Linked DNA regions of Pelodiscus sinensis. The protein of the gene in region 1 interacts with the protein of each later gene in a pairwise test. Links are inferred from orthologs where the notes say so. Each region holds a gene or a part of one and is shown on either strand. Other genes may lie near its edges.

Evidence for each region.
Region 2: the proteins of TNFAIP1 (region 1) and EXOSC5 interact in binary tests that used the Homo sapiens proteins (3 or more experiments, as listed by UniProt). The two-hybrid records come from large-scale screens. The link is inferred for Pelodiscus sinensis from reciprocal best matches to the Homo sapiens genes TNFAIP1 and EXOSC5.

Annotation. Positions count from the first base shown.
Region 1 is NC_134731.1:11,335,979-11,352,089, forward strand, and holds the start of TNFAIP1 (BTB/POZ domain-containing adapter for CUL3-mediated RhoA degradation protein 2), read left to right. Parts: upstream 1-7,834; 5' UTR 7,835-7,870; coding exon 7,871-8,082; intron 8,083-16,111. Other genes in the region: IFT20 (intraflagellar transport protein 20 homolog), read right to left, coding at 2,820-2,901, 3,374-3,477, 4,361-4,446, 5,442-5,570, 7,644-7,737. UniProt on the Homo sapiens protein: Substrate-specific adapter of a BCR (BTB-CUL3-RBX1) E3 ubiquitin-protein ligase complex involved in regulation of cytoskeleton structure.
Region 2 is NW_027465992.1:99,425-114,982, forward strand, and holds EXOSC5 (exosome complex component RRP46), read right to left. Parts: upstream 5,924-15,558; 5' UTR 5,888-5,923; coding exon 5,698-5,887; intron 5,188-5,697; coding exon 5,074-5,187; intron 4,693-5,073; coding exon 4,571-4,692; intron 3,057-4,570; coding exon 2,916-3,056; intron 2,361-2,915; coding exon 2,271-2,360; intron 1,552-2,270; coding exon 1,459-1,551; 3' UTR 899-1,458; downstream 1-898. Other genes in the region: BCKDHA (2-oxoisovalerate dehydrogenase subunit alpha, mitochondrial), read left to right, coding at 6,015-6,086, 6,799-6,978, 7,374-7,460, 8,392-8,500, 8,761-8,922, 9,658-9,864, 10,071-10,212, 10,291-10,462 and 1 more; B3GNT8 (UDP-GlcNAc:betaGal beta-1,3-N-acetylglucosaminyltransferase 8), read right to left, coding at 11,685-12,893, 13,639-13,719, 15,015-15,023. UniProt on the Homo sapiens protein: Non-catalytic component of the RNA exosome complex which has 3'->5' exoribonuclease activity and participates in a multitude of cellular RNA processing and degradation events.

The DNA.
Region 1 (16,111 bases):
TATGACTTAATCAACTGCAAGCAGCTGGGGAGCAAAGAGGATGTGAGGGAGGAAGTGCTATTAGGTATCATTTTTATTTGCAGTAAAAACAGGGGCTGTTTCTGCCCATAGATCCATATCCACAATCCCTTTGACTTGGGTAGTGCTGAGAGCAGAACTTGGCCCGCTAGATTCTTACGGCAGATGCGCAAATACAACTGGCTATTCTTGTCCAAATCATGCAGTTGCTGAAGTTTTACGATTCTGTAACTCTGAACTTGTTGGCCAAAATGCTGGGTCTTTCGTTACGTTTTTGATCTTGCGCCTTGCCCAGTGTTCCAGGCTGCCGCCAAGATCTCAAACACCCTCTTATGTGTCATTGTCAAACCAGCTCAAACTACCCCATGCTCTTTTAGTCTGCTTCTCCCAGCTCCATTTTTGATTATTAAGCTGAATCAGCTGTCAGTACATTTCAAAACCTGCCTCTGAAGTGGGTTTCTGAGACATGCATCTGCTTTTTGTAAAGCACCTCTCTTCCCAAAGGGTCCTAAAATCTTTTCCTTGCTGGTTTGAGCAGGGATATTTTACCACTTCTGATCTGCAGCGTTCCTCCCAGCAGTGCTGGGTTTGTGGGACTAGTCTACTTGGATTCCCAGCCCATTTCAGTTGAAGTGAACATTTCCCACATTCTGGGCTGCCTGGGGAGGGGGAGCTTGCCCTGGGTCCCCTCTTTGCAGGACCCCAAACCTAGTATTTGTATGACCTCGTGCATGCGGCTGCCTCCCCGCTTAGCTTTGGCCTGTCCACTCCTCCATTTCCATGTACAGAGGAGAGAGCAAGCCGAGCCAAACCTGTGTGATGGGGCAGCCTCCTTTTAGTCGCTTGACACACAGATCATCTGCAGCCACATCGGAGGTGAAATGCGCAAATGTGTTGCCATTGGACACTGGTGGCAAGTGGTCTGGTCTTATAGTCAAGTCTCTTTTCAAAGGGCAAGTATCAGCATCTAAAGTGCGGCAATGTCAATTGTTTAGTGGGTCCAGGCCTAGTCTGTCCTTGGAAGTATATTTGAATATTTAGCCAAGTGCTGTGCTTCAAATTACAAGGTCCAGTGGTCTCATGGCTTGGTTGCCTACAGTTAAATATACAACTCCACCTAAGCACTTAGGCTATGTCTACACTTGCACCCTCTTTCGAGAGAGGGGTGCAAATGAAGACATTCAAAATTGCACATGAACCTGGGATTTAAATATCCCACGCTTCATTTGCATATTCGCATTATGGCGCTATTTTGAAATAACAGACGCTGTTAAGACGTGGTTATTTCAAGAGAAAACCCTTTTCTCGAAATAACTAGTAAACGTCATTGTATGAGGAATAAGGGTTATTTCGAGAGAAGGGTTTTCTCTCAAAATAACCGCATCTTAACAGCATCTGTTATTTCGAAATAGCACCATAACGCAAATATGCAAATGAAGCACGGGATATTTAAATCCCGGCTTCATTTACAATTTCGAATGTCTTCATTTGCATCCCTCTCTCGAAAGAGGGTGCAAGTGTAGACATACCCTTACATAAGCAGCCTGACTTCTATTTCAGATGCTGACCACCAGCACCTTCTGTTGCTCTTTATTGATTTGTGGCTGCTCCGCTCTTCTGGAAAATCAGACCTGTCCTAGTCAGATATCCAAAGGTGGATTGTGGAGCCTGACCTTAGACATCCATTGTCAAAACAGCCGCTTCTGTCACAAAGACTTCAGGATGGTCTCTTAGGCCTGGTCTACGTTGCAGCGGAAGGTCAACTTAAGCGATGCAACTTCAGCTGTGTTTAAATATGCAGCTGGAGTCGACATATTTTAAATCATGTTGCTGCACTGTCCACACAGCGGAAGGTCAATGAAAGCAAACACTCCCATCTGCTTCCCTTACTCCTCATGAGGAGCAGGAGTACTGGGGGGACGACAGGGGTGCCTTCTGAGTTAGATTTAGTGGGTCTATACTAGACTCGCTAAATCGAACTTGGAAGATTGACCGCAGCAGCACTGATCTTCCATGTAGAATAGACATGACCTTAGTTACTGGTGGCTTGTTTCATTGTTAAAAATTCCCAACAAATTGCTATTCTGAACATCAGTCTGTAATTGTAAAAGAACAGATTTTACCTTAGGTATAATCTGTCTTTAATTCTGCTGTATGTTTTCGAATTTTGGATTGCCACTTGTGGGTTCTGTTAGTCACAAATTTGAATGTGTGTGGCTTTTTAAACTGGACAGCCATTGTTGTCTGATCAGTCCAAATAAAAAGCTATTGGTGCTTCTCAATGTTGTGATTTGTGTCTGTGTAAACATGAAAAGCTCTAGTTGGTAAAACTATTAATGCGACAATCCAGCGAACTAGTTAAATCTAAGGAAAACAGTCTCTTAAATTATATACAAAACTTGCGCAGCTGATTTTTGGCCTTTCAAAAAACAATCTGAAAAAAGAAACTAAAAACAATAATTTATTTCCTGATTCCTTAGGAAGTATGGTAAACTTAAAAAGGGGGGAGGGACATGTAAAGGTAGTATTCAAAAATTAAATGAATTCAAACGATGAGGACCATACCATTTTTTTTTTTAAAACAAGAGACAGGTTAGAAATCTTATTTACACATGCATAGAAAACTCTTCCTTTTGCCATTTAAATGTAAGTTCATCTAGTGTAAAAAAAAAAATTAGTGTTTTAACCTTTTTGCATACTGCTTTGATCTTTCCTATGCAATATAAAACTTTATCATAAGAATCCTTAGGATACTGGAAAAGTACAAGTTTGCCAAGGGAGTTGGTGTTGGTCTTAAATCCTTATTTCTGAAAAATGAATTGGTCGATGAATTCATTCTGGTCAGCTTCTATTTTACAAAGGGTCTCATATTCCACTCGGTATCTGAAAAAAAAGACACAGAGAATGCTTACAACCTGTATTTAGAGTTTAAATATTGGGACAATTTTAATCCACAAAACCAGTGATACTCTGAGAACGCAACAATGTCTACGCAGTTGACTTGCTGCCTGTACTGACATGTCAGCTTTAGAAAAAGTTTGTAAACTGTGTCCAATGTTGTGCATGGGGGAAAATATCAATAGCATCAGGTGTTTCATATATCAGATTTATTGTGGGAAACCGCTCGGCAGGCAGGCACTGAGCTTGAGGTCCAGTTTCCTTATATAAAGAACTACCACTGAAGAGCCCCGATAGGACCATTGTTTTAGGTCTGGAAGGGACCTTGAGAGGTCATCTAGCCCAGTCCTGATGCTGTGTGTGTAACTCTTTGTTGTTACTATTTATCCTTTCAAAATGTCAAACCAAAACTCCTGGAAAACTATTGGTCTTGGCTTCACAGGCCATCTTAACTTACCTTTCCAACTGCATTTTCTTCTCTGTTATTAAAGCCTGAAGCTGCTGCTGCTGGGCTTCTCTCTGTTTCGCTATAGACTTTAACAAGTTTCGGGCACCAATTGCCTAGGGAACCAAGACTGGGTTTTAGTAATAGTGCTCTCGGTTTTAGCAATAGTGCTATTGTCATTTTTAACAAGTCATTTGTCCAAGGGGTTTGAATAATTAGACTTCAAGGGAAGATAACGGCTTCCTAGAGCTGCCATTCAAACATTCATTACTGTGACTAAGTGCAAAGTCTAAACATATTACTTGACCTCTGGATGACTGGGGCAACGGATATTTAAGCACAGAATTGACCATTAGTTCTGAACCTTTTCCTAGATAAATAAGTTTTGTCCTATATACATGGTTTTTTAAACAACAAATGTTCATGCTTGTTTCTAGACTGACCTATAAAGTAGAGATCCCAGTAACATGTATTTCTACAAGTGTGGCGATTGCAAAAGTAGCTATTGAGATGTGTACAAACAAAACCGCTTTGTTTCTAATCAGCTGCTTCCTTCTGCCACATGTCTTCAGTGATGGTGCTGTCCCCAACATCTCATTAAAACCTACTGTTCCATGCACTCAATTTTGGCCCCATTGAATGAACTGGTAGAAGGACAAGATTGATTAGAAGGAAGAAATCTGCTATTTACATGCAAATCTAATGGATCAGCTGTAGGGTTGGGGGGAGGAGGGGAAGCACCAGGAATGACCTGAAGCTTGCTTGTTTGTGTGCCACAGGCTAGCAGTAGTCCTTTAAGCCCTTGGGGAGGGATAACTATGATGTTAATCCAAAAATAGGTGTTAACAGCTCGACCACTTAAAAGATCCCTAAAACAATCTCTATCATATCAATTGAATAACCACCTAGATTGCTTAAATCACACACAGGTAAGGCAGGGGCTACTGTGTTTTGTAGAGGACAGAATACTTCAGGAACCAATAATTTCATGTACAGTACCTTCATCTTTTCATTTTCAGCTGCTTTTGCTAGTTGATCAACAAGTTCTATTAAGCTACCCACTATTTTCTGAAACTCTGCAATTTCTGAAAGGGGAAAAAATGGTGGTGTTTAAGCCAGAAGTGTTTGTCAAAATGACCAAAATTCTTATACCATAGCACTGGTGTGCTTTTATCCAGGGTTTGTGTGTTATATCCTTAACACTGTTAAATAGCTTGTATTAGGAATGTTTACTATAAGACTTCTATACAAAAGACGGAGAGAAAAATATAATGAAAGGCCATTAAGTACTGATTAGGTTCTTGTCTTCTCAGTCTTCCTTCCCTCTGTTATTTATTTAGATCTATATTTAAAAAGAGATGCCATTGCCTATACAAGAATAGGTGCCCTACCACAGCGGTTCCCAACTGCCAGGCGGGCCACAGACCTCTGGCTGCCGGGCCGCGGCGGCTCTTGGGGCCCAGGGCTGGGGTACATGGTGCTCTTGTTGCAGCTGTTGGGAGAGGCGGGCCTGCCCTGCCTCTCAGCTAATCAGCGCCAGGCGGAGGGGTCTCCTCCAGCCACAGAAGAGCACTTCCTTGCGTGGTGGGAGGGCCGCACGGAGCCACTCTGCGCACCCCTCCTGCTGCGCAGGGAAGCGCTGGTCTGTGGCTGGGAGGAGACCCTGCGCCACACGGCCCTCCCGCTGCATAGGGAACCGCTCTTCCACAGCTGGAGGAGACCTCGCCCCTGCCCGGCCCAGAACACGCCTCTCCCAACAGCTGCAACAAGAGGGGCGGCGCTGGGCAGTGTACCCCAATCCCCAGAGCAGCCGTGATGCAGGCAGCAGTGCAGGGCTAGGTGGGGGGGGGGGGGCGGACTAGTGCTTGGGGGCTTTGGGGGCTGAGCTAGTAGTGTAGGGTGGCTATAGGGGCAGGGCTGGCACTGTGGTACTCTGAGGATGGGGCTAATATTGGGGGCTGGCACTGGGGAGACTCTGGAGGGGTTGGGTGCAGTGAAGCTCTGAAAACAGGAGGCTGGTACGGTATTTAGTAGGATTGAGAGCTTGACCAAGGAAAGTAAAAAAAGGGGAAGAACTTACTGTCTACAAAAGCTTTGCATTCTTCTTTGAGTTCAGTTGTTTGCTGTGCAACCTCCGGATCCAAAATTCGTAATTTATTCAGCTCATCAAAGTGAAGATTTGCATCGCCTAGAATGTCCTTGGCCATATCTAGACATCCGTTTTAAAGATAAAAAGCATGCAAATAAGAGCATTAAACTTGCAGCCATTTTCAAATTGCACTCTAAGACCCCAGAGCTCATATCAGAGCAAGACAGAACTTTAAAAATAAAGGTGTTGGCTGTATCTAGACTGGCCGCTTGAATTTCCGCAAAAGCACTGACTTCCTCCTGTAAGAATCAGTGCTTCTTGCGGAAATACTATTCTGCTCCCGTTCAGGCAAAAGTCCCTTTTACGCAAAGCTTTTGCGCAAAAGGGTCAGTGTAGACAGCTCAGATTTGTTTTCCGCAAAAAAGCCCCGATCGCAAAAATGGCGATCGGGGTTTTTTTGAGGAAAAGCGTGTTTAGATTGTCACGGACGCTTTTCCGCAAAAAGTGCTTTTGCGGAAAAGCGTCCGTGCCAATCTAGACGCTCTGTTCCAAAAATGCTTTTAATGGAAAACTTTTCATTTAAAAGCATTTCCGGAAAATCATGCCAATCTAGACGCAGCCATTGAGTCCCATCCCACTGTCCAGGAAGAATGACAGTATGATGGTCCCTGCGTGAGCCCCAGGAGCTGGTTGTGTACAGGGAAAGTTAGGGCAACTGGAACATGACACAATGAGAAACAGCTGCCTGGATACGCCCAAAGCTGCTTCTCTCCCCAGGGTGGGTGTTTCGAGGTCGACAGCTAGCACTTCATCTGGCCTGGTGCCACTTCATGCAAAGAAGCTGACTGGCTTTAGCATACATGCGTGCTGAGCAGATACACTACATGGCAGAGGTTATGATGCTGATCAGAACCTGGTAGCTTTATGTATAGAGGAGCTGTCACAAGGTCACAGAGCAAGGCAGTAATGGACAGCCTGGGTGGGGAATGCTCCCCAAGGCAAATGTCATCTCACTTTGTCTGCTACCACATGCCCACTCCCATCTAGCCTTTCTCCACAGAGGGCAGGCTTTCCACAGAGAGTTGGGAATCTTGAAGAAAACCTTAGAAAACAATTGCTCTTGTCTACACAAAGGCTTTCTCCCCCCCCCCCCCTAACCCTGGGCAGCAATGACAACCAAGCTAGTGTGGACCCCGTGGGAGCATGTTTACCATAGTGCTGCCGTGATCCAAGTGCATGGGACGGATTTGGGGCTGCTAGTCCCAGACCAAGTTTGAGAGGGACAGTGTCAGAAAAGCCTTGGGGTTGAGGCAACCATGGTCGGCCCTCTCCCCATCTCTCCCCCCGCGCCCTTAGCTCACCACAGTGTTGTCGCACAACAGGAAAGTGGAGTGGGGCAAGTAAAGCCAAGGGGCTGCTCCCTGACTGCTGCCAAGTCCCTGGAACACTGTGTGCCTCAGTTTACCTGCTGTCCCAGGGACGGAAGCTGCTGCTTCACCTCCCCGGGGCTTTTTATGCAGCTGGCTGAAGTGACCAAGTGCCCAGGGGTGTGTGTGTGGGGGGGGGACAAAGCCAGCCTGTTGCCCACGTGGCTGTGGGGGGGGGGGGGGAGGGACAGGGGTTGGCCTGGCTGTGTGGGGGAGGGGACAGGGGCTGACCCTGGCGGGGGGGGGGAGGAGTTGACAGGGGCTAACCTGGCCTGACTGGGGGGGAGGGGCTGACCTGGCCGGGGGAGGTGAGGAGGGGGGAGGGGCTGACCTGGCCGGGAGGAGGGGGGAGGGGCTGACCTGGCCGGGGGAGGTGAGGGGGGGGGAGGGGCTGACCCGTCTCCAGGCGGCGCTGCCGGGGTCCCCAGGCGTTCGGGAGCCGCCGCGCGGCCGCCTCGTACCTGCCCGACGCCCCCGCTCGCAGGGCGCTGGGGCCTCCGGCTGCCACGGCGACAGCGCCGGTATCGGCCGGACCGTACCACTCCCGGGGGGAGGGGGGACGGTGCATCACGGGAGCTGTAGTCCCACCACGCGGCGCCCGCCCGGAGAGGACCCGCCCCCGCTTCGGCGCGGCTGGAGACAGCGGCAGAGCCCGCCCGGCTCAGCCCCCTGCCGCCGCTCGGCCGCAGCCTGCCCCTGGCCCCGCCGCACGCACCGACGGGGGCACAAGCCCGCTGGGGAGCGCTTCTCGCGCCGTTTCTCTTACCCCAGTGCATGCTGGGGCTTGTAGTCCTGAGGCGGTGGCGACCTTCTGACATGCTGGTGGCTGCGGCCTCTGCGGGCAGGTGGCCCCGGTGCATGCTGGGGACTGTGGTCCTTGGTAGACAGAGACCTGTGGCATGCGATGCCTGTGGTGTCAATGGGCCGGCCCCGGTGCATGCTGGGAGTTGCGGTCGATGGGCCGGCCCCGGTGCATGCTGGGAGTCGCGGTCGATGGGCCGGCCCCGGTGCATGCCGGAGCCTGTAGTTTGCGCTGCAGGGAGCGGTCCCGGGCCGTGGGGGGGAGGAGCCGGGCCCGCGCCGGGGAAGCTGCGCTCGGAGGCTGTGCCCGGGGCAGGGCGGAGAGCTGGGCCGGGATCTCCTGCAGCGGGGGCCGCGGGGAAGCATCGCGAGCAGCTCGGGGAGCACGAAGGGCCCGCAGCCGGGTAAATACCCCCGGGATGTAGGGAGGCGGGTAAATACTCTGGGGGGCGGGTAAATACTCCCCGCCTGGGAAGGGAGGTGGGTTAATACCCCCGGGCTGGGTGGGGGGAAGGGAGGGAATCGGGTAAATACCAGCGGGCTGGGTGGGGGAGGAAGGGAGGCGGGTAAATACCCTCGGGACTGGCGGGGGGGGAGCGAAAGAGGGTGGGAGGGAGGCGGGTAAATACCCTTGGGACTGGCGGGGGGGGGAGCGAAAGAGGGTGGGAGGGAGGCGGGTAAATACCCTCGGGACTGGCGGGGGGGGGTGTAAGCGAAAGAGGGTGGGAGGGAGGCGGGTAAATACCCTCGGGACTGGCGGGGGGGGGGTGTAAGCGAAAGAGGGTGGGAGGGAGGCGGGTAAATACCCTCGGGACTGGCGGGGGGGGGTGTAAGCGAAAGAGGGTGGGAGGGAGGCGGGTAAATACCCTCGGGACTGGCGGGGGGGGGGGTAAGCGAAAGAGGGAGGGAGGTGGGTAAAGATTCCTGAGGCTGGGGGGAAGGAAGGAAGGAGGGAGGTGGGTGGGTAAATATCCCTGGACTTGGGGGCAAGAAGGAAGCCGGGTAAATGCCCCTGGGAGTGGTTGGAGTGGGGAGGATGCCCCCAACACGTATCCCCTGTGAGTATAAACCCTAGTGTGCGTAACTAATCAAAGTGTTTGTCTACCTGATTGTGGTGGGGCTGGTGATATCTGCTACAAACACACCGATATCATTGGTCTGGCCAAAAGGGTAAATTAGTGAGATTAAGTCCTCTCATTTGTGGGCAATGTTAAATGTGTGTGTGTGGGGGGGGGGGGGGGGGGGGGGGGGTGGTATTTCCTTTCCTATGTTGAAGCCTTTAGGGTTGTCCCTAGTGGAAGGAGGACAACTTTTTGTAAGCGGGGATCAGGGTGGGATGGGCCGAGATACTTGTGGTGCTGGAGCTGGGACTTCAATAATAACAATGCTGATCTCTCATGTTGCACGTTTTGCCTCCGAGCGCTTCACAAAGTGTTTCAGGAATCACACTAAGAATGCTGAGACTTACGGTAACTTCATGAGAGTTGGGAACCATTCTCCTCTCTTCCCTTTGTCGTATATCATTCATTACTCGTTAGCTGTATCGCGCTGGTGACCAGGAGTCACCTTCATGGACCAGAACCTTAGCGTGCTCGGCTGTAAAGACCTGGAACAAAAAACATGATCCCTTCCCCAAAGAGTTTTACAGTATTTTCATATGGTATGTCTGCTCCTTGCAGAAGGGGCCATGTTTCTCTCTACCTATGAAGCAGGACTAACAATTTGTAAAGTTCCCTACCTCCCAGGGGGACAGTGAGGGTTAACTAATGTCTGTAAATGTAAATGCACAGAGGCACCATAAGCAAATATTTTATCCCTTTGTAAGGCAGCTTCTTGCATGTTCTGAGGATGCCTTATAGATGTCCAGTGCCCTCTCTTTTTTTATTTACAGCAGGAATTCTTAGATTCTCTTGCCGGTGTCCCCCATGCCTCTTGAAAATAAATTCCTGTGTGCGCAGTCACGATTCTCTGCAATCTAGGGAATGGTCTCTCTTTTGCTGCCTACTGACTAGTTCTCATGCAGTGCATTTCATTTCATCCCAAGATCTCACCTGGCTTTATAAAGGAGGACAGCAACATTATTCATATTTTACAGTTGAGGAAACTGATGCAAAAATGACCAGTCTTCCAAGTTCCACTCCTCCGCTCTCTTGACTAGGCCAGGGGTGGGGAACCTTTTTTGGGTTGAGGGCTGCTAACACACAGAAAAATCAATCGAGGGGCTGCACACAAGTAAGAAGAAAAAAAAAAACAAAAAAACCCAGCCCTCATTGACGTGGTCCCTGAGAAGGAGAAAGACACTCCCCACGTTCCCCTTACATACCAGAACCTAGTGGGGTTCAGGCTAGTAGATTTTGTGTGCTCCAGTCCCACCGTAGACATGGTCTCCCCAATGCTGGGGGGGGGGGGGGAGCCCTGAGCCTCGGGGGCTGCATCCAGGCAAACTGGGGGCTGCCCACGGCCCTGAAGTTCCCTACTCCTGGACTAGGCCATGCTGCTTATTGTTTCCTACAGATAAGTCTTAATACAAAAACGAGAGCTGGTTTCTGTTCCTGGTTCTGCCCCTGACCTTAGGCATGTTTTCCCCATGTGTAAAATGGAGATAATGATACAGCTCTCCATTATAGTTTGAATGCTTGTCTCTTCCACCAGCAGAGTAGGTCCAATAAAAGAGATCTTTCACCCTCCTTTATAAGCATTTTGAGATCGACCGATGAAAAGTGCCGTGTAAGAACGCAGTGGTGGTGTTTGTCATCTGTTTAGACCAGTGAGGGGCAGCCTAGGCTAGTGAGTGGGCCACATGAGTAGCCCTTCATTTCAATTGGTTGCAAGATTGTTGTAGCCAAGTCGGTCTCCCGGGATAGTATGGTTTTGCTTGTGTACCTAGAATTGGCAGGGTGTGCGGATGTAACCGTAGCAGGGCTTTGATTGGTTTCAGAGGGAGCACACGGCTCTCGCGATATTGTGTACAGTCAGCACGCACCTCACTTCATGTGCCCCTGCTTTACCTGTGTGTCACTTTAGTAGGAAAGGAACTATGTGGACGAAAACTGGCACAATCTGTCAACCTTGTGCATGGGCAACGGTAAACAAAATGTCTCATGGGCCACATATAGAACCCCATTGGGTGCCATGCGGCCTTTGGGCCACAGATTGCCCACCGCTGTTTTAGATGATCAACTTTGGGGTGCAGGCTGTCTCCTGTTCCATGTTTGTACAGAGCCTGTAACAGTGGAGCTCTGATGTCAGCTAGAGACTCTACATATTGCTGTTGTAGTACAAGCGAACGCTAATAGACCAGTTTGTGTCTCTCTTCCAGCTCCCTACCGGGCTGGACCCAAAGATGGGGAGTGGTGTTTATCGTCCTTAGTTTGTGAGTGTTGCTGTTTGAAATGAATGCTTCTTTTGAGCTGTTGAGAACGTGGTCTGGGATTTACAGTAGTTATTAACTGGGACAGTTTCCTGATGTGAGAGATGAAATGTTGTGCTATTGTATTTACAATCTTGTGCCACTCTTCCTGCTCAAGGCAGGAAAGAAGGACAGAGTAACAAACTTTTCCTCTTACAGTCAAGACGCTAATTGAGGGTTTCCTTGCTGAGTATGGGTGAAGTCTCCTAGCCTGCCTCTTAATTAACATGTGAAATCAATTGTATTGGCTCCCATGCGACTTGTCTGGATGGCAAAAAGGATTTCCCTATTTTACTCCTCTGTGCTTTGTTGGGAGAAAATAATAGCGCTAACAAAGACCCTGATTCTACAATGAGATGCTGTCAGGCAGACTCATGTAGGTTTCTGGAACTCTGACTGGGTGTGGAGATCTGCCATTCATTGCAGGATCAGACTCTTGAATTCTGTCCTTTTCAGAACCTTTATAATCACTCATTCTGAAAGTCTTTAAACATGTTTTATTTAAATCACTCCCTACATTAACTGGATTTGAAAATTGGTTTTTACAAAATTTAATCTTTACTGAAAACCTCAGACGATTGTAATTGTTTAAAACAAAATCCAAATGAAGCCCCTTGATTTTTAAATCAGTATTATTTCCCTTCAGCAACTGAAACCTAAAAGTGAAAATGCCCGTACACAAATAAAACTTATTTTTTGTTTTGTTTTCCAAGGTAACAAAGACAAACGGAGGATAGATTAGAGGGCAGTCCTTACCCATATGCAGAACATGCAGCTGCATAGGGCACCTGAAAATTTGGGGCACTACTGGGTCTTAATATCCACCCATTTGCCTCTTCCTGTTCCTGGTCTGTGGCTTTGCTTCTTGCGGAGAGGATCTAGTTAACTTTAACATGAAAAAGCCTGCCAGACCCATTAGCAGAACATCCAACCGGTGAAAGAGCCATTCAGGTGGTAATGAAGGCATTGAAGAGGCATTTGCCTACCCCAGGTATATAGTGTCAGTTTCTGAATTTACTGTGTTAGTCGACAGGACCTTTAGTGTTAAAATTTGGTTTAAAACTATTCATGAGTGTGTTGCTGAAGATTCTAAAATCACATCTCTCAAAAGTCATCACCCTGCCAGCTGTCGTCGGGCACCAGTTTAGTCGCACTGCATAGGCCCTCGTAAATCCTAAGGACATCCCTGATGGATTATATCGCAGCGAAAGCATAGGTCAGGTTATCTGAAATAAGATAGGAAACCTGCTCTTTATTCCTATTCCTGTGTCAGACTTACTGTCTGTATGTAACTTACCTTTACCTTTACCACGTGAGTATTGTGAGACTGAATTTCCTTAGTGTTTGTCATGTGCTTTAGGACCTTTTAACAGGGGGTCTCAGAAGTGAACAGTGTGGTATTGTTCCATGATCTTGTCATTGTGTGACAGTACACCCAAGCAGGTCTTGGTGATCACCTCTTATAGGGCATGGCTACACTACATCCCTCTTTCGAAAGAGAGATGTAAATTAGATAGACTGAAATTGGAAATGAAGCCGGGATTTGAATTTCCCATGCTTTATTTGCATAACGGCGGCTGCACGTTCTTTCAAAAACGGGTATTTCGAAAGTGAAACCGCCGTCTAGACACGGTTCTTTCAGGAAAAAAAAACTTTCAAAAGATCCTGTACTCCTCAAAAAATGAGGTTTACAGGATCTTTCGAAAAAGGGTTTTTTTCCCCGAAAGACCCACGTCTAGACAGTAGTTTCACTTTCAAACTACCCATTTTCAAAAGAACGTGCAGCCGCCATTAAGCAAATGAAGCGCGGGAAATTCAAATCCCGGCTTCATTTCCAATTCGGATCTAATTTACATCCCTCTTTCGTCTAGACATAGCCTTAGTGATTAGTCGCTTGCAGATCAACAGTTGCTTTTATAGCCATTTCCTTTTGTGATGCCTGATTGCCTGTGATTCATACTGACTTCTGAGATGCTTGGCTCAAATGATCCGCGAGGAAGGAACTTTCAACCTGTTTGCAGGCAGAAAAGAATTTGGGCTTTGTTTTCTAGGGCTGCTCAGCTGGAGGTTAAGAATGCAACCAGTGAGTGGGGCTGCCAATTAGAGCCAGTTATAACCTGACTGACCTGCTTTGGCCTCAAAATGCTTTGTGGAATTTGCTGTGTCCTTGCATGTTGCAGAGTTTGCTTCCCACTCACTGTGGATTATTAGAGGCAGTTGGCAGGGATTACTCAGATCCAACAAAGGGGGGAATGACGCTGTTGGAAGGTTTGTCTGGGTCTGTAATATCAGTGATTCTTCAAATCTCTGACATTTAAGTTGCCATCTGTAGCTCTCGGGAGGTTATTCTGTACCAGGTGGATGCTTAGCTCTCTCATGCTGCCGGTAGGGCAGTAAAGGATTGCACTACCTGGTAGTGGGCTGTTTGTAAGAGATCACTGATGGTGCCTTTTGCTGTCCGGAGAAGTGAGAAGACAGAAGAGCCTGCTACCCGAAATGGACAGATCGGTAGATTCAGCGCTGGATTTACTCTTCTGGGGGCCTAGGGCCATTACATTTTGTCATTCCGCTCCCCCAGGCTCCAGGGTGGGGCCAAAATGAGGGATTATGGGCTCTGGGGTGGAGCTGGGAACGAAGGGTTTGGGAGGCAAAAAGGGACTCCAGGCTGGGGCCAAGGGATATGGTCGGCAGGAGGTTGGGGTAGGGATACAGGGTCCAAGTAGGAGATAGGGTGCATGTGAGGGTGAGGGGCACTGACCTGGAGCAGCTCCCCTTTGGTGGCACAGTGGGGAAGTGGGCAGGTGGCTCTGTATTTCCCCTGCAGGCACTGCCCGGTGCAGCTCCCATGGGCCGCAGTTCCCGACCAATGGGATCTGTGGGAGTGGAGCCTGCAGGTAAGGGAAGCACATGGGCAGAGCTTGCAGGTCCAGGCCGGCAGGAGGGAGGCAGGAGTGGAGCCGCATTCCACACCCACCCACCCACCCGCGATGCAGGGGCTTCAGGAGCTGCATCCCAGTGCCTGGGCTCTGCAAAAAGATCCGCCCTTTTAGACTACGCGTAGTGGGAGGGAGGGAAGAGATTTCAGCTCTGGGAGCAAAGTGCAGCTGCTCCTGAGCTCAGCTGAGCACAGCCCGGTGCCTGTGAGATCCAGAGTCCAGTGAGAGGGTCGTGGCTCTGATGGGTTAGATGGGGCCCATCTTTGCTTGCGTTCGTTTGGTTCCATTTCTTGTTTTGCTTGTGTGGGGATGGGAGAGAAGAGGGGCGGGGAGGGAGGGGCTAGGACTGGACTAGAGACAGGTTAACTTCATTTATCTGCACTCATCAGCGAGGAATGTTTCAGCAAACAGGTCCCAAGCAATCTTCTCCACATTGGAATGCAACTACAGCATCAGCTAGTTGTTCCCCTGTTAGTGAGAACAACTCTGACTGCAAAGATGTACCAGGTGTATGGATAGAGAAATTGAATGGCCCCCACAGGGATCGGAATCGAGTTGACAATGGAGACTGCCAGGAAAGCCCTACACGCTGTTCTTCCAGCCAAGGGGAAGTGCAGGAAACTCTCCCATTGTGAGGGACAGGTCTGAACGAGATGTGTAATATCCCTCTGGGAAGCAGAGAGCGAGCGCAGAGTTCCTGCCTTCTGCCCAGAGACGTTCAGACTGACGTGTTTCGCCTCCACTTCAGGTTTGGCTGATGCCTCCGCTTTGTAAAGTCCTGAAAAGTGTAATTTGGCCAGGGGGGTTTGAAGCACCATTGTTTTCAAATGATTGTTTGAAATGAGCTGCCAAGTTTTGTCTCCTATTGAAGAGAAAATCAACCCCCATTTTTTTTTCTGCTGTCTCCTTTGTTAAACACCGAATGCCAGTGGCCTGGATTATTTTCTCATGACTTTGTTGGGAGGAAATAGCTCGTTTCCTGATGCATTGTAACTAGGCATGCACTCACACTCTGTGATTTCTTTTATAGCTTCCCTGTGTCAGTCCTTCATTCAACCTTTCAGTTATGCCTGCTAATAATGCGTCTGTCTTCGTACAAGCAAAATGCAGGAAAATGTAGCACTTTAAAGACTAACAAGATGGTTTATTAGATGATGAGCTTTCGTGGGCCAGACCCACTTCTGGCCCACGAAAGCTCATCATCTAATAAACCATCTTGTTAGTCTTTAAAGTGCTACATTTTCCTGCATTTTGCTTCAACTACCCCAGACTAACACGGCTACATTTCTATCACTTGTCTTCGTACAGTGGTTTGTAAGCGTAGGACAGCCGTGTTCCTGGCTAGCTATTCAAATAAAGTCCATATTCTGTCTGATCCCCTTCTCTCTTTTTCCCCTTTTTTTCAATGTTGTAGGTGGGATTTTTAACAGGGCTGTAACGCTGCTCCTGTTGGCATCAGTGGGAGTTAGGGTGTGAAAGTGCAGCCATTTACATGCTTAACCGATGAGCCTGGGCTAGCCGGTTAACATGCACGATTACACGCATCCCCCCCCATCAGAGGCAACAGCACAGGGGAGGGGGCAGATGGGAGCTGGTATGTGCGGGGAGCTGGCTTTTAAGCTGGCACCTTGCGGAGCCCCCTGTCTCGCCGCACTATGGTCCCTGTCGCCCGCATGCCTCCCCGCTTGTAACTGACATTTTTAGCAGTTCCACATTTACTTTAATAAATGCAGTTTAACATCCCAGATGAGCAGTAACGTTGTCTTTAGGAAGAAGAATGCTGGACCAACATTGTGTGTTGTCAGAAACTGTAGAACAGTGACAGGCAACCTAGGCTAATGAGCACCACTCAAGCTGAAGAAGTGGGGTTTGCCCATGAAACCTCCTGACACTGTATATTTTTGTTACTCTTCATAGTGCCACGGGACTACTTGTTTTTTTCTAGGCTAGTGGCTTCCCCTTCATCTCAGTGGGCTGCAAGACCGTTGTAACCAAGAGGGCCTCCTGGGATAGGGTCGTTTTGCTCCTTGCGCTGACATATGTAGAATTTGCGGGGTGTGCTGACTGCACTGTAGCAACACTTTGATT
Region 2 (15,558 bases), on another chromosome or scaffold:
CACGGGACCCGCAGGCCCTGGGGGAACAAGGCCCCTGCAGGCGAGGGCGTCAGGTCCCGGAAGCACCGGCTCGCGGGCCCCCTGGGGCTGGTGCTTTTGCAGGCAGCTCCCAGCAACCCGGCTGCGCTGCCCTGGCGGAAACGCTGCCTCCCCCCGCGCCATGCGGTGCCGGCCGCCCCGGGCTGGGCTCAATTCAAGGAGGGAAGCAGGGGGGCGGGGGGAGGTTCAGGTCAACCCGGGCAGGAGAGGGGTGGTTGGGAATTGGGCCCTGTGGACAGAGATCAGTGGGCAGGAGGGGGACCCAGGCCCTGCTCCGGAGGTGGGGCCCTGGCCCAGGCTGCAGGCAGGCGGGACGGGGGCCCGGAGGGGAAGGGAAGGGAAGGAATCACCATGTCCCGTCCTTCAGCCTGGTGCACGAGGGCCCAGGGGCCCGGCGGCTGCAGCCCCAGAGCTGGGCGCAGGCGGGGGGGGGGGGGTCGGTCCCTGGCTCCGGGGTGGTAGGAGGGGCAGGAGGAGACGCGTCAGCGAGCCAGAGTGGAGGGAACCCAAACCCCCGACTCACGGCCACTGGCACAAATCCCTGGGCTCCAGCGTGTGAACCCCCCTTCGCCCTGGCCTGGCTGCAGGGCTGGGCTCTGCTGGGAGCTACTGCACAGCTGCAGCACCCAAAGGGTTAACCTGGGGGGACACTCCGGCACTGCCCCCCCCCCCCCACACACACACCCAGCAGCTCTCCCACTCAGTTTCCCCCAACCAGTCAGCCAGCTTCATGACAGGCCCTGAATTGCACAGCAGCTGCTGCGGAGGCAAATGAAGGCCGCTGGGGGAGGGGGGGGACCCTGGAGCTCAGCTGAAGGTGCTGGGGGAGGGGGACACGGCTCACCCCCCACACAGCGGATGGCTGGGAAAGGCCCCGTTTAATGGGCACCGCAGTACAGCACGTGGAGGAGGGGAGGGGCGCCCGGAGTTCGGCCAGGCCTGTGCAGGGCCCATCCGGCGAGGGGCCCCCGCGCCACAGCAGTCCAGGGCCCGGCTGGGGGGCAGTGGGCGGAGCCGGGCGAGGGGCCCCGCGCCGCAGCAGTCCAGGGCCCGGCTGGGGGGCAGTGGGCGGAGCCAGGTGAGGGGCCCCACGCCGCAGCAGTCCAGGGCCCGGCTGGGGGGCAGTGGGCGGAGCCAGGTGAGGGGCCCCACGCCGCAGCAGTCCAGGGCCCGGCTGGGGGGCAGTGGGCGGAGCCGGGTGAGGGGCCCCGCGCCGCAGCAGTCCAGGGCCCGGCTGGGGGGCAGTGGGCGGAGCCGGGCGAGGGGCCCCGCGCCACAGCAGTCCAGGGCCCAGCTGGGGGGCAGTGGGCGGAGCCGGGTGAGGGGCCCCGCGCCGCAGCAGTCCAGGGCCCGGCTGGGGGGCAGTGGGCGGAGCCAGGTGAGGGGCCCCACGCCGCAGCAGTCCAGGGCCCGGCTGCCTCAGGCCTTGGAGTACTTCCGGTGGATGGAGTCCCGGTAGAAGCGGAAGACGGCGTCGGCGGCTCGCTGGGCAGCGGCGATGCACCTCTGCAGCTGTGGGGAGCAGGGAGACGGCGTGAAGGGGCCCCCAGCGGGCCTGGAGCGCCACGCAGCCACGACGCAGCCACGAGCGTGTACACACGAAGTGACAGCCACGCACTACCCAGCAGCGTGCGCAGTCACAAGGGTGCCCTGGGAAGCCACGTGCTCGCACGGCAAGGCCTGCGTGCACCATCACAACACGCACTAGCGCACTGCCCATGCCCGGGGGGAGTCTCTGGGGCGCAGCTGGGCCGGGGGCCGAGGCCTCGCGTAGCAGGCTCCAGTCTGGCGCCTCTGGCGCTTGGAAAGCCGGGAGCAAAGGCAGAGGGACCCCTGCTCGGCCGGTCCAAGCCCCGCAGCGGGGGGTCCGAGCTGAGCCCCGCCCCGCCCCGCAGTCAACCCCCACAGCGGGGCACAGGCTGGCAAGCAGAGAGCCTCATTGGGATTCCAGGCAGGCAGGCGAGACGTCTCCTGACAAACCCGCTTGCCTGGGGCACTCAACACCAAACACATCATGCCCCTCGCGGCTCGGCCACGCGCCGGGAGCCCGCCGGCAGGAAGGGGTGGGGGCTGGAATACCAACCCCCTCTCCCTGCTGCCTCGGGGAGACACCAGGGCTGCCCGCCTAGCCCCCCCCGCCCAACCCACACCCGGCCCGATGGGCACCCCATGTCCCGGTCTCCAGCAGCCGCAGCCTCCTGGCCTGCCCCACTCCCCAGGCCCCCACTCACCTCCTCTACTGAGCAAGTCCCCTTGGTAGTGGACATGAGCACCCGCCTCTCCACGCTGCTGATGGCGAAGGTCAGCAGGGCTCGCGCCTCCTGCAGGGGGAGGGCAGAGTGAGCTGTCTGCCCACGCTGCTGGGGGCGGGTCCACCAGGCCAGGCCATTCCTGTGACCCTGGGCCACCAGGTCCCTCAGCTCCGGTCCCTGCCTGCTGCCCTCCCACCCACTGCGCACCGCACAGAGAGCCCCACCGGCCCAAAGCCCTCAAGTCTTCCCTCAGGGCTTTGCTATCAGACCCTGGCCCAATGCTGGAGACAACTGCCCTTGGGCTGTTAGCCAGGCAGCTGGCTCGCACCAATATCCAGCGGCAGGGAGTTCCACAGGTTGCACGAAATGAGATTAACTCAACTTTACTACATCAGCTCCCAGTGTTGCCACCCCGCACTGGGCCTACGTTTCCCCTATTTCTGACTCGCTGTCACCTGCTGCACTAACCACTAGATCCCGCTGCGGCTCAACTCGAGCCCCGCACAGTGCCAGGTGCGGCACAGACCCCCTCCCCCCCGCCATCAGGCCCCCGTTATGCTGCAGGTTGCCATTAGTCCCACAGGACCCTGCAGCGCCAACCCGGCCTGGCCACCTCACACCCACTTTCTCCTGCTTGGCCGTAGGGTCGAGGCTGAGGGCTCCATCAGCATCCAGGGCGCATGTGACCCCGCAGAAGAGCGACTTCATGGGCAGGCCGGCATCCATCAGCCCCATGCAGGCCGCGTTCAGGCAGCAGGCCAGCAGCTGGCACCAGGTCAAGGGAAAGGCTGGCAGCCGCCGAGACAATCACCACCGACCCCCAGAGGCAGGACTCAGGCCTCAGAACCACCTGAGACCATGGCCCGTCGGGCCGGGCGCCCCCCAGGCCCCGGCCGAGATCAGGGCCCGTCGGGCCGGGCGCCCCCAGCCGAGACCAGGGCCGGGCGCCCACAGACCCCGACCGAGACCAGGGCCCGTCGGGCCGGGCGCCCCCCAGGCCCTAGCCGAGATCAGAGCACTGGGCTCTGTAGGGTCTGGAGGATGGGCAGGGGGCTAGGGGCTGACTTGGAAAGGAGAGTGGGGGCTAGTGGTTTCTGTCCCTGGCTCTGGCACAGACTAGTGTGACCCTGAGTAAGCCCCCCCCCGCGCGCAGAAACCCCCCCCCCCCCACGAGGATATTGCTGGTGGAAAGGCCACGCCAGGCCCCAGGAGGCGCAGGGCCGCATGCCCTTCCTGCCAGCGCTAATCCCTCCCCGGGGACTTGGCTGAGTGAAGAGAGAGCTGCCCCGGGCAGGCCAAATTAAGTCATCACTCCTGCCTCCATCAGTCTGAGCCAGCCGCCTCCGCCAGCCGCTAATCCCTGCGCCCGGCTACCCCCCCGAGACTCTGTCACTTAGCACCCACATCACGCACCACAACTCAATGCCTCCAGTGCCGGAACGGCTGCTGCACCCACTCCACAGCCCTGCCCAGCCCCGCTTCATGCCAGTTCCTCCGTGCTCGCCCACAACGGGCTGGGCTGCGGGTGAGAGCGAGGGGGAGGGCAGGGACTGCGGGTTGAGAGTGAGGGGAACTGGCAGGCCTGGGCTGGCAGGGGCTGCAGGTGGGGAGCAAGGGGCACCGGCTGGGCTGGGGGCACCTGGGGCTCCCATTCCCTCTTCCCAGTGCCCTGCTTCCCAGGGTCTGCCAGGAAGCCCCATCTGGGCACGGGCCAGAGAGCAAACCCACCCCTAGCAGCCACTGCCACAGCGCGGCCACCACTAGGGGTACCACGGGTTGTTCCATTGGGCGCAGCTGCAGCGAGCGGTGCAGGGGCCTGGACAGCCACAGAGCCGAGCCCTTAGGAACAGGGCCCGCAGGACGCACGCTCGCTCCCTGTCCCACACTGAGCAAGGCAGCCGGGCCTCCCCCAGCTGCCAGGGAGCACCCCCTGCGGACGCCCCTCCCTTCCCTGCGGCAGCCTGGGAGGTCCCCGCTGCCCCCTTAGGCTGCGAACGGCAGCAGCTCTGTCCTTCCTGCCCCTGCCCGCCACCCCCAGCCTGCCAGGGAGGGGCAGACGCACGCTGAGCTGCCTGGCCTAGGAGGCTGGGATCAGCCAGGGAGCAGGCTGTCCAGCAACTCCAGCCTGGGCGGGACCCCGGGGTCAGGGACGGCGAGCCAAAGCCCCTGGGTGTGCAGGGCGGCAGCTCCCACCCAATGGGGGGGGGATGGAAGAGCAAGCGGGCAAAGCGCCCCCCGGCACACGCCGGGCAGCGCCCCCTGCTGCCTGGGAAGGATACAGAGCCGGCGTCACTGACCACCTGCAGCACGATGGTAACGGAGGTTCGGGGGTGCAGGGTGCCCAGGATAACGGCCTCACACGTCCTCCTGATCAGTTGCTCCCGGCTCTTCTCAAAGACGCCTGGGGAAGGACAGGGGGGCGGGCTGACAGCGAGCCGGACCCGCCCCCCGCAGCCACCTGTGCACTGCCCCTGAAACCCAGCCCGCGACCCCGGCATACCAGGCACTGCCCCCACGCCCGTCCATGCAGACCAGGCCCCTCGTCCCCACAACCGACCCGCCCACCCAAGGTCAGCAGACCCTGAACGCGCCAGACAGACAGACGGACCTGCCCCCGGCTTGGGACAGAACCGCTCAGCGAGCTGCAGGCTGCTTTGTCAGTCCCGCTGCACGGCCGTCCTACAAGCTCCTATTATTGTAGGGTGCCCTGTAAACATGCAGCTGCCAGAACCAGGGACTTGGTTTTAAAGCCCCCCCCCCCAGCCCCGCGGCCGCTGCTTACCCGGGAGCCCCACTTTGGGTTTGAGCAGCACTTCCAGCGTGGCCTGGTCGTACAGCTCCCTGCTGCCCTTCACCTCCGCCGGGCCGTACAGACCGGCCAGCACCGACGTGTCTCCTGGGGGGGGGGGGCGGGTCAGACTCGGCCCCGCTCCCCGCGTCGGGGCGGGACTGGAAACCCGGAGGGGCCCGGGGGGGGGGGGGCCGACCTACGGGTGGGGGGGGCCCCGAGGCGAGGAGCCGGAGAACAGGGAGCCGGGGGGGGGGGGGGGGGGGAGCAGCTCCGGGCCGCAGGCAGGTGGGGGCGGTTTAGAGGGGGCCGGAAGTGAGGGTCCATGAGCAGAAGCGGGGGCCAGAAGCAGGGGTCCCCGGCCGGAAGTGGGGGGGGCCGGGCAAGAAGCGGGGGGTCCCCGAGCGGAAGCGGGGGGCCGGGCAAGAAGGGGGGCCGGAAGTGGGGGTCCCGGGCCGGAAGCGGGGGGGGCGGGCAAGAAGGGGGGCCGGAAGTGGGGGTCCCGGGCCGGAAGCGGGGGGGGCGGGCAAGAAGGGGGGCCGGAAGTGGGGGTCCCGGGCCGGAAGCGGGGGGGGCCGTAAGTGGGGGTCCCCGGCCGGAAGCGGGGTCCCGGCTCACCCTGCAGGAAGGCGGCGGAGCCGTCGGGGCGGCCGAGCGGGCCCAGCTCGCAGGAGAAGGGGCGCAGGGCGCAGCCCCCCGGCTCGGAGCCCATCGCGACTGCGGGCACCGCCCCCTCTGCACGCGGAACGCGGCCCCACCTACCGACCCCACTTCCGCTTCCGGGGCGGGCGGGGAGCCCCGTTTCCATAGCGACGGGCGCGCTACGGGGAGGGGGGTTGCCAGGGTGACGCGCAGACGGACGGCGCGGGGAGGCGGGATCACGGTTGCCATGGCGAGGGGGGCGGGGCTCCAGGCGGCCCCGCCTTCGCAGCAAGATGGCGGCGGGCTGGGGGCTGCGGCGGGGCCTGGGGCGGCTGCTGCGGGGGGCCCGGGGCCTGGGCGCCGCCGTGAGTGCGGGGGGGGGGGGGTGAGCGTCGGTGCTGCCCGCGGGGGGGCTCCGCGCCCCGTGCCTCAGTTTCCCCGCGGGGCGGGGCTCGGGGTCCCTGCCCCCCCCCCCCCCCGGGCCGGGATCCCCCAGCAGAGGCCGGTTTGGGCGGGGGCGCAGGAAAGGCCCCCCCCCCCCTACTCCCCCCCCCCCCCGCGCGGGCCCGGCCTTGAGCCGCCGCCGCAAGGACGCGGCGCCCGCCCCGGCCCCACGCGCCGATCACGCGCCGGCCCCGCGGGGGGGGCAGCCTCTTGCTGGCTGCACGGGGAAGAGGAAAGGGGGGCGCTGGTGCCCCCCCCTCTGTACCCCATCTCCGCAGAGGGGCAGGGTGGGGAGGGGCGCCCTGGGTCGCGGTGCCCAGCTGGAGGCTGCGTTCGGAACCCTCCTGCTCCCCAAATCTGCCCCCAGAGGGAGGGGTGAGCAGGGGCGGGAAGGGGGCGGGGCCGGGGTGGATCCTGGATTGCACTTCAGTTCCCACAGGGATCTCCCCCGTAAATCGGCTGGTGACCCCCCGGCTTTGAGTCCCCCCCCCCCCCGGCTCTCTTCGCTCGCAGGGCACCTTGGCCATACGCTCGCGGGGCCTCAGGCTGGGTGTCCCGCGGCGCAGACACGTGGGGGGAGAAGTGTCGGAGGCAGTGCCCCCCCCATCTCACCTGGTCCCTGTTGCCCCCCAGCACGCACGCCGGCAGCAGCAGGAGTTCACCTCCCTGGAGGAGAAGCCGCAGTTCCCTGGCGCCTCGGCCGACTTTGTGGACAAGCTGGATTTTATCCAGCCCAACGTGATCTCGGGGATCCCCATCTACCGGGTCATGGACCGGCAGGGGCAGATCATCAACCCGGATGCTGATCCCCAGGTGGGAGCGAGGTGCTGCAGGGAGCCAGCCCTGGTCTCCCCGTCTCCTGCAGGCGGTTCCTGCCGTCCCCCTGGGGCACCTCGTCTGTCCCCTCCCACCCACACACACCCCATCTTCCCAGCCCCCCGCTTCTGTCCTGCCACCTGGTCTGACCCAGCCTGGCCGCTCTGATGCTCCTTGCAGCCTCTCTCCCATTGGCTGCTTTCAGCCCCTTTCCTGACGGGGGCGGGGGCACACCGGGCTGCCTGGCTGGCGAGGGCATGGGACCCGAGCGCCACTCGGCTGCTTGGGCTTTTCTCGGCCCCGAGTCACCCTGAGATCAGAGCCCTGGGGGGCAGCGCCACCACCCGGCCCCTCCTGCGCTGACCTGCGGCTCCTCGCCCCTCCTGCCCCAGCTCTCCCAGGAGCAGGTGCTGAAGTTCTACAAGACCATGACGCTGCTCAACACGATGGACCGGATCCTCTACGAGTCGCAGAGGCAGGTGCGGCTGCTGGGGGGCAGCACGGGGCGGGCAGGGGAGGCCGGGAGGGGCTTTGGGGCTGGTTCCTGGGCACCCTGCGATTTGCTTCCGTGGTGTTGGATTTTAGGGTGATTAGCTCACCACAGGGGTAATTTCCCACAGTACAGGGCTGAGCACCAGGACTCCAGATTGTCTCCCAGCTTGGGGAGGGCAGTGGGGGCTAGTGGTTAGAGCAGAGGGGGGCTGGGCACCAGGACTCTGGGTTGTCTGCCAGTTTGGGGAGGGCAGTGGGGGCTCGTGGTTAGAGCAGAGGGGAGATGGGCACCAGGACTCTGGGTTGTTTCCCCGCTTGGAGAGGGCAGTGGGGGATAGTGGTTAGAGCGGGGTGGAGGGGGCAGGCGGGCACCAGGACTCTGGGGTTCTCTCCCAGCTCTGGGGGGAGGAAGGGGGAGGGGTCTGTGACTAGCTAAAATCACAGCAGTCCCCTTGGGGTTGTCCCGTGCTGCACTGACCGTGCCACTAAACTGGCCTTCCCGCCCACTGACGCCTTGTTGAAATGGAGCCGCGCTTCGTCCACCTCCCTCCCCGACAGGAATGAGGCATGGCCAGGCGGGGGTTGCACATTCAAACTGTAACTGTAAAATCAGCAGCTTACACGGCCTCTTTTGCATCAAGCATCTACGAATTCTGCACATTCATAGTCAAAAGCCAGTTCTCACACCGCATGGGAGGGTGGTGCGGAGTCTAGTGGTTAATGCCGGACCCCTGAGTTGTTCCCAGCTCTGGGAGGGGAGTGGTGTCTAGTGGTTAGAGCAGAGTTGATTCCTGGGTTCTGTTCCTGTCTGCTCCTCTGTGCATGTCCTCAAGACACAGACCTGGCCCATGCCTCAGTTTCCCCACAGTGGTGAGGATACTGGTCCAGTCCCCAGTTAATTCTTTGTTCCTTTTCCAGGGCAGGATCTCCTTCTACATGACCAACTACGGGGAGGAAGGGACTCACGTGGGCAGTGCCGCAGCGCTCGACGACACGGACCTGGTGTTCGGGCAGTACCGGGAAGCAGGTGCTGGCTGATTGCGGGGGGTGACCCCCACGGCCACCTCGCCCGCACGTCCATGCAGTGCTCACTGGGGGCAGCGCACACGCGCCCGAGCTGTCCCTCCAGGGAAGGCTGGGCTAAAGCCAAGCCACTTCTCAGCCCCTTCTGCCGTGGGACGTGCCTCTGAGTCCCAGGCCCCCGCGGGAGAGCCAACCCCGCGCCCATGGGGGCTCGCTGGATGCCCCGGGGCCTCCCCGTAACCCGGCTGCGGTTCTGTGCCCCAGGCGTGCTGATGTATCGGGGCTACCCCCTGGACCTGTTCATGGCCCAGTGCTACGGCAACGCCAGCGACACCGGCAAAGGGCGCCAGATGCCCGTGCACTACGGCTGCCGAGACCGGCACTTCGTCACCATCTCGTCCCCGCTGGCCACGCAGATCCCACAAGGTGAGGCCCCCGGCGCCCCTCCCCTGGCCAAGGGCGGGGCCAGTGCACCGGGCGGGGGGGCTGCCGAGGTTCCTCGCTCCCCACCTGCAGCCCCTGCCAGCGCCCTTCATTCCTGCCAGGCCAGCCCTCCCCTCACCCCCGACCTGCAGCCTCTGCCCCCTCCAGCCCTGCCAGGGCCCCTCACCCCCGACCTGCAGCCCCTGCCAGCTCAGCCCAGCCCTGCCAGGGCCCCTCACCCCCGACCTGCAGCCCCTGCCAGCCCAGCCCAGCCCTGCCAGGGCCCCTCACCCCCGACCTGCAGCCTCTGCCCCCTCCAGCCCTGCCAGTGCCCCTCACCCCCGACCTGCAGCCCCTGCCAGCCCAGCCCTGCCAGTGCCCCTCACCCCCGACCTGCAGCCCCTGCCAGCCCAGCCCAGCCCTGCCAGGGCCCCTCACCCCCGACCTGCAGCCCCTGCCAGCCCAGCCCAGCCCAGCCCTGCCAGGGCCCCTCACCCCCGACCTGCAGCCCCTGCCAGCCCAGCCCAGCCCAGCCCTGCCAGTGCCCCTCACCCCCGACCTGCAGCCCCTGCCAGTGCCCCTCACCCCCGACCTGCAGCCCCTGCCAGTGCCCCTCACCCCCGACCTGCAGCCTCTGCCAGGGCCCCTCACTCCTGCCCCACAGCTCCTGATCAGGAGGGCGGCTCGGGGCGAGGCACCAAGCCTGCGCTGACCCCTCCCCGCTGCTCTGCCCCCCAGCCGTGGGAGCTGCCTACACCTTCAAGCGGGACAACGCCAACCGGGCCGTGATCTGCTACTTCGGGGAGGGCGCGGCCAGCGAGGGCGATGCTCACGCCGGCTTCAACTTCGCCGCCACCCTCGAGTGCCCCATCATCTTCTTCTGCCGCAACAACGGCTACGCCATCTCCACGCCCACCTCGGAGCAGTACCGGGGCGACGGCATCGGTGGGGCCGGGCCGGGGGCAGGGCGGGCTCACGAGGAAGTGCCGCTGGGGAGAAGGGGGGGCGTAGAGCCGCTCTGGCCTCCCCCGAGGCACTGGCCAGGAGAGGGGCTCGGGCAGGAGGGAGTGTGGGGGGCCGGGGGAGGAAGTGTCTGAGGCGGGGCTGGCCCAAGGGGCGCAGGGTGACTGGCGGCTCCTCTCCACCCCCAGCGGCCCGCGGCCCCGGCTACGGGATCATGTCCATCCGCGTGGACGGCAACGACGTCTTCGCCGTCTACAACGCCACCCGGGAGGCCCGGCGCCGCGCTGTGGCCGAGAACCAGCCCTTCCTCATCGAGGCCATGACCTACAGGTGGGGGGGGGGAAGGGGCCGGAGCCAGGCAGGGGGTGGGACCTGCAGGGGGCGGGACTCACTCAGCTCCTCCCCCAGGATTGGGCACCACAGCACGAGTGACGACAGCTCGGCCTATCGCTCGGTGGACGAGGTGAATTACTGGGACAAGCAGGACCACCCCATCTCCCGCCTGCGCCACCACATGCTGAGCCGGGGCTGGTGGGACGAGGAGCAGGAGAAGAGCTGGAGGAAGAAATCCCGCAAGAGGGTGAGCAAGGCCCCTCCCCCAGCCCCAGGCTCCGCCCCCCTGGGCTGGACACGGACTCCCTGGGGGGGAGGGGCAGGCTGGGAGCCAGGATCCTGGGCCCCCTGCTGGCTCTGGGTGGGTGGTGGGGCCCAGTGGGCGGGGCTGGGTGCTGAGAGGGCAGCGGGGCCTAGTGGGCGGAGCTGGGCTATGAGGGCGCAACATGGCCCAGCGGGTGGGGCCGGGCTGGCTCACACTCCCTCCCCTGGCAGGTGATGGAGGCCTTCGAGCAGGCGGAGCGGAAGCTGAAGCCCAGCCCCCACTACCTCTTCTCGGACGTGTACGGCGAGATGCCCCCGCACCTGCAGAAGCAGCAGGAGGCGCTGGCGCGGCACCTCCGGCTCTACGGCGAGCACTACCCGCTGGAGCACTTCGAGAAGTGAGGCCTCCTGCCTGTGGGCTGCCCTCGGCTGGGGGTCCCTGGGCTTGGGGGGGGGGGTTAGTGCACTCTCTAATCAGCCTCTGCTTCGGGGGCTGGGTTCTGCCGGGAGGGGCCCTGAGGCCCCTGGGCGCCTGCCTGTTACGTGTGGGTTTGCTGCTCTGGGCGTGGGGGCCGCCTGCTGCTGTTACGCTGCGCTGGGATCCTGCTGGGGCCTGGCCCCCCGGGTGCCGGTGATCAATAAACTCTCCACACTACGGCTCCCTGCCTCCGTCCGCCACCCCCGTACCCAGCAGCGGGGTCCTGCCCGCAGCCCCCCGTCTGGGGTTCCAGGTGCCTCGCCCCAGAGTCCCCCACGCAGCAGGGGAGCGGCTGCTGCAGGCCATGGGAGGAGGGAGCATGTCTGGTCTCGCGGTCGCGGCATCACAGCCCCCTGGAGCCGCCATGGGGCAGACGCCCCTGAGGGCCTGTGTGGGACGAGTTCCACGCAGGGCATGTAGCCCTGCCAAGCACCGAGCACAGGGTCCTGCCACGCCCCTCAATGGCCCGGGGGGCTGGCAGGCAGCTTGGGGCGGGGGGGGAGAGGGAGGTTAAACGCAGGGAGAGGGCAGCAGAGTTGGGCCTGTTCCAGAGAGGGGGCCTTGTGTTTCCATTGGCCGTGTTCCCTTCTTGCCCTGCGCCACAGCATGGGCAGCCCAGTGCCCCCAAGCCAGGCTCTGCTGTGCCCATACATTGGGGGCAGCCCCCCACGCTGGCGACCCCTGGGGCCAGGCTCCGCCCCACCCCACGCACCAGGCTGGGGTGCCGTCAGCACTGCAGCTGCGGGTCCTGCAGCAGCCGCCAGAGGCGCAGCGTCTGCTGGGGGCTGCGGCGATGCACCAGGAGCAGGCGGCGGTGGGCGCACGGGTCGTCCCGGTCCTTCTCGGGGATGTCCAGGGTCTGGAAGGCGGGGTGGGCCTGGGCCGGCACCCCCAGCCCCTGGAAGCAGAGCCCGGCGTAGACGTCGTCGATGGGGTAGAAGGCCACGTGCTGGGCCATGAGGAGGAGGGGCCGGAGCAGGCGCCCGGCAAAGATGTAGCCGCCCCCGCCGGCGTAGGCCGGGTAGGGCCCCTCGTAGAAGGACTCGGGGATGAAGTACTTGCTCTGGGCCAGGCGGAACGGGGAGGCGTTGGCCATCACCTGCCCCGTGTAGAGCGTCTCGGCCCGGGCGGGCTCCAGCCCCGCCAGGAAGGCCAGCACCTGGGGCGTGTTGACGAAGACGTCGTCGTCGCCCTTGAGCACGAAGCGGGCGTGGGGGCAGTGCGCCGCCGCCCAGCCCAGGAACAGGAAGTCCTTGAGCGTCAGGTTGAAGAAGGTGTCCTCGAAGTCCCACACCAGCAGGTCGCCGAAGGCCTGGCCCTCGTGGGCCACCAGCTGGCGCAGGTCGGGCTGGTGCGGGCCGTGGGCAGTGCCCAGCAGGAAGAGGGTGCGCACCGCCTGCCCGCCCGGCGCCCCCTCCTGGCCCCAGGTCTCCCGCACGGCCTGGCGGGCGGCGAAGTGGCCCGGCTGTGACTTGATGGCCAGCAGCAGGAAGGGGCGGCTGCCGGCGCACTTGTGGGGCTGGTTGAGCAGCAGCGGGAAGCGGCGGCACCCGGCGTGCAGCACGAAGCGCCGGTGCTGCTCCGGGTAGGAGGCGAAGTCCCGGATCTCGGCCGCCACGGCCAGCCCGGCCCTGCAGTCCCACGAGCCGTTGGCCAGGCCCCACTCCAGCGCCCGGAAGAGCTGGTGCTGCTGGCGGTTCCAGTAGGCGTCCGCCTGGGGGATGCTGCCGCGCAGACGCTGGAGGGAGCTGTTCAGCCCGGCCGGGTCGACCTCCAGCAGCTCAGGGGGCAGGAGCTGGGTGGGGTGCTGGGCGGGCAGGGGCTCCGGCTGCTCCTCGCTCCACTCCACGTAGGCCTTCAGGGCCAGCAGCGTCAGCAGCGCCAGGGCCACCGTCAGCACCTTGGGCCCCTTCATGGCCCCGCGCCATCCCGGAGCCTGCAGCACGGGGGGGGGGGCTGCGGTCAACGGGGCCGAGAGCGGCCCAGGGAGCGATCCCTGCCAAGGTGACGCGGGCGCCTGAGGGCGGGCCAGGGGCCTGCAGGACGCATGCTCAGCTCCCCCCAACGGGGCACCGCGTGGGCAGCCCGGATCTCAGGTGGCTTGGCTCTCACACCTAGTGCCACGGACGTCACTTTCCCCTTGGCCACGCCGGGCGCGTCTTCCACGACCTCCAGGTGCTGCTTGGGGCAGGCCCCGGGCCCCGGGCAGCACTTCCAGCCTCCCTTGGGGCCGAGCCCCCCAGCCAGCCCCTGTGTGGCCCCAGGACCCTGCTCCCTCCCTCCTGGGCCCGGGCCCCGGTGTCCCTGTCTGCTCCGCCCCCAGCCGGACGGGCCGCTGCCTTGGGCTGCGGGGAGTTTGGGGGGCCACAGGCCGCTCGCTCAGCCGGCACCCCCCGCCCCTCGTGGAAAGGGGAGCCCCGGGGCTGGGCCCGGCCCCCTCCCTGCCTCCTTTACCCACAGGGATTGGCTGCCAGTAGCGGCTGGCCCGGGCCAGGGCGTTTCCTGGTCACTCCTGGGACCGGCCAGGCGCTGGCCAAGGGGCTCGCTCTGGGTCTCTCGCTTTGGAAGGGGCCTGGCTCCCCCGGGGGGCGCCCCCAGGGGCCCCGGCCGAAGCAAGGGGCTGGGGAAGAGCCTGGCTGTGACCAGCGCCCGGCCGGGGGACATGCGGCTGCCTCCGTTACCTCGCGTGGCTCAAGGGCCCGGTCCCTCCGCGCCGGGCTCGGCCATTCCCCGCCGGGCGAGCGACAGCCCCAGCGTGGTCCCTGCGAGGAGACAGGCCAGCTCAGTCCCTGGCAGCCCGGCCCCGGCGGGGCGGAGGGGCTGGGAGTCCGGGGCCGGGGCTGCAGGACCGACGCGCTAGTCCCTGGCCAGGCAGCAGCCGGGCGCACGGCGCCACGCCCGACACAGACCGCCCCGGCCGCTGCCAGACTGGCCTCCCGCGCAGGGCCACGGGGCCGCGACCGAGCGGTGTCCAGAGCCGGCCCCCAACCGGGGTCACCCGCCGGGGAGGGGAGCGGGGGCTGGGCGGGGCCCTGTTTCTACAACCCCCCCCCCCCCCATCCTGTTTATCCGGCACAGCTGAGTCCTGCCCCTCCCCAGGGCAGCCAATGGGGGGGGGCATAGCCAGGGCCAGGACAGTGAACCCCCACCCCATGGCAGTCCTGGGCTGTGGGAGGGAGCGGGGGCCACCAGCAGGGCTGGGGGGGCAGGACTGGGGGGTCGGGAGCAGGGGGCAGCGGCAGGGCTGGGGGGGCGGGAGTGAGCGGGGGGCACCGGCAGGGCTGGGGGGCAGGACTGGGGGGGCGGGAGCAGGGGGCACCGGCAGCGCTGGGGGGGTCGGGCCTGGGGGCGGGAGCGAGCGGGGGGCACGGGGGGAGACAGCAGCGGGTGCCTCGGGGGAGCCGGTCCCAGCCCCTGCAGCCCCCCCGGAGTAACCCCCCCCTGCCCGGCCCGCGGCGGGGAAGCCGGGGCCGGGCACCAGCTGGACGCGGCGGCGGCCGCTCGCTCCCAGCCGGGCTATGTCCAGCCCCCGGCCGGGAGCCCGGGAGAGACGCCGAGACCCGGCCCCGCTTTCCGTTCCGACCCCCCGGGCCCGCTCACCTCCGGCTCCGCTCCGCGCCCGCCTCGCCTCGCCTCGCCCGGCGCGATCCCGGCGCGCCCCACCCCGGGAGCGGCCCGCCCCTGCGGGGCTTCGCCTCCCAGCCCAGGCTCAGGGCGGGGCCGCCCCCGCGCCAGAAACCGCCCCCCCGGGGCTCCTGCCCGCGGCTGGGCTCAGGGCCCCCCTGGGGGCCACATTGGGCCCGGCCTGGCGCAGCTGCCAAAGGGGAGCAGCCCAGAGCCGCCCGGCCCGGGAAATGTCCAGCTGCCCAGGCCCACAGTTCTAGGGCTTAGGGGAAACTGAGGCACGAGGCAAGGCCCAGCTGCTGCATCATCACCATGAGAAAGGCGGGGGAACCTGCCCGTGGGACCCCAGGCACGGGTGCGTTACCTCCCCCCCAGGCTGGCGACAAGCCCCCCGAGCGGAACGCGGCGCCGTGCTCCGGCCTGCCCGGCTCACCGTGGCCATGTGCTGTGGACACCCACAGAGGCAGCAGGCGGCACGGAGCCAGGCCCCAGGCAAGGGGCTGGGGGTCCCAGGCGCCGGGTCCCGGCCCTGCAGGTCGCAGACAGCTGGCTGGGGCGGGCAGGAAGAGTAGTGTGAGAAAGAGGAAGAGGAAGAGGGAAGCTACAGCAGGGCTTGGCCTGGTGCCCTGTGCCAGTGTCCGGCTGGCTCGGCCCCGCCCGGGCCCCGCACTAGGGCAGGGGGCCGGGTGCTTACAGCCCAGTCGAGGCTGCCCAGCCCTGCCGCCGGGCGCCAGGGGGTCCCCACCCCGCTGCCCTGGAGTCCCCCGGGGCAACACCCACACACCACAGGGCTGGCAGTGTCACCGAGCCCCGCACATGCCTGGCACAACCCCCCACCCACGGCAGGGCGCTGGGAACCAGCCCTTCACAAGGCCACAGGCCACACCGTGCAGGCGCCAGGCTGGAGACGGTTCTAGGGCCACGGGGAGGGGTAACCCCAAAACCGCCTCCTCCCCAGCCTCAGCTGATGCTCACAG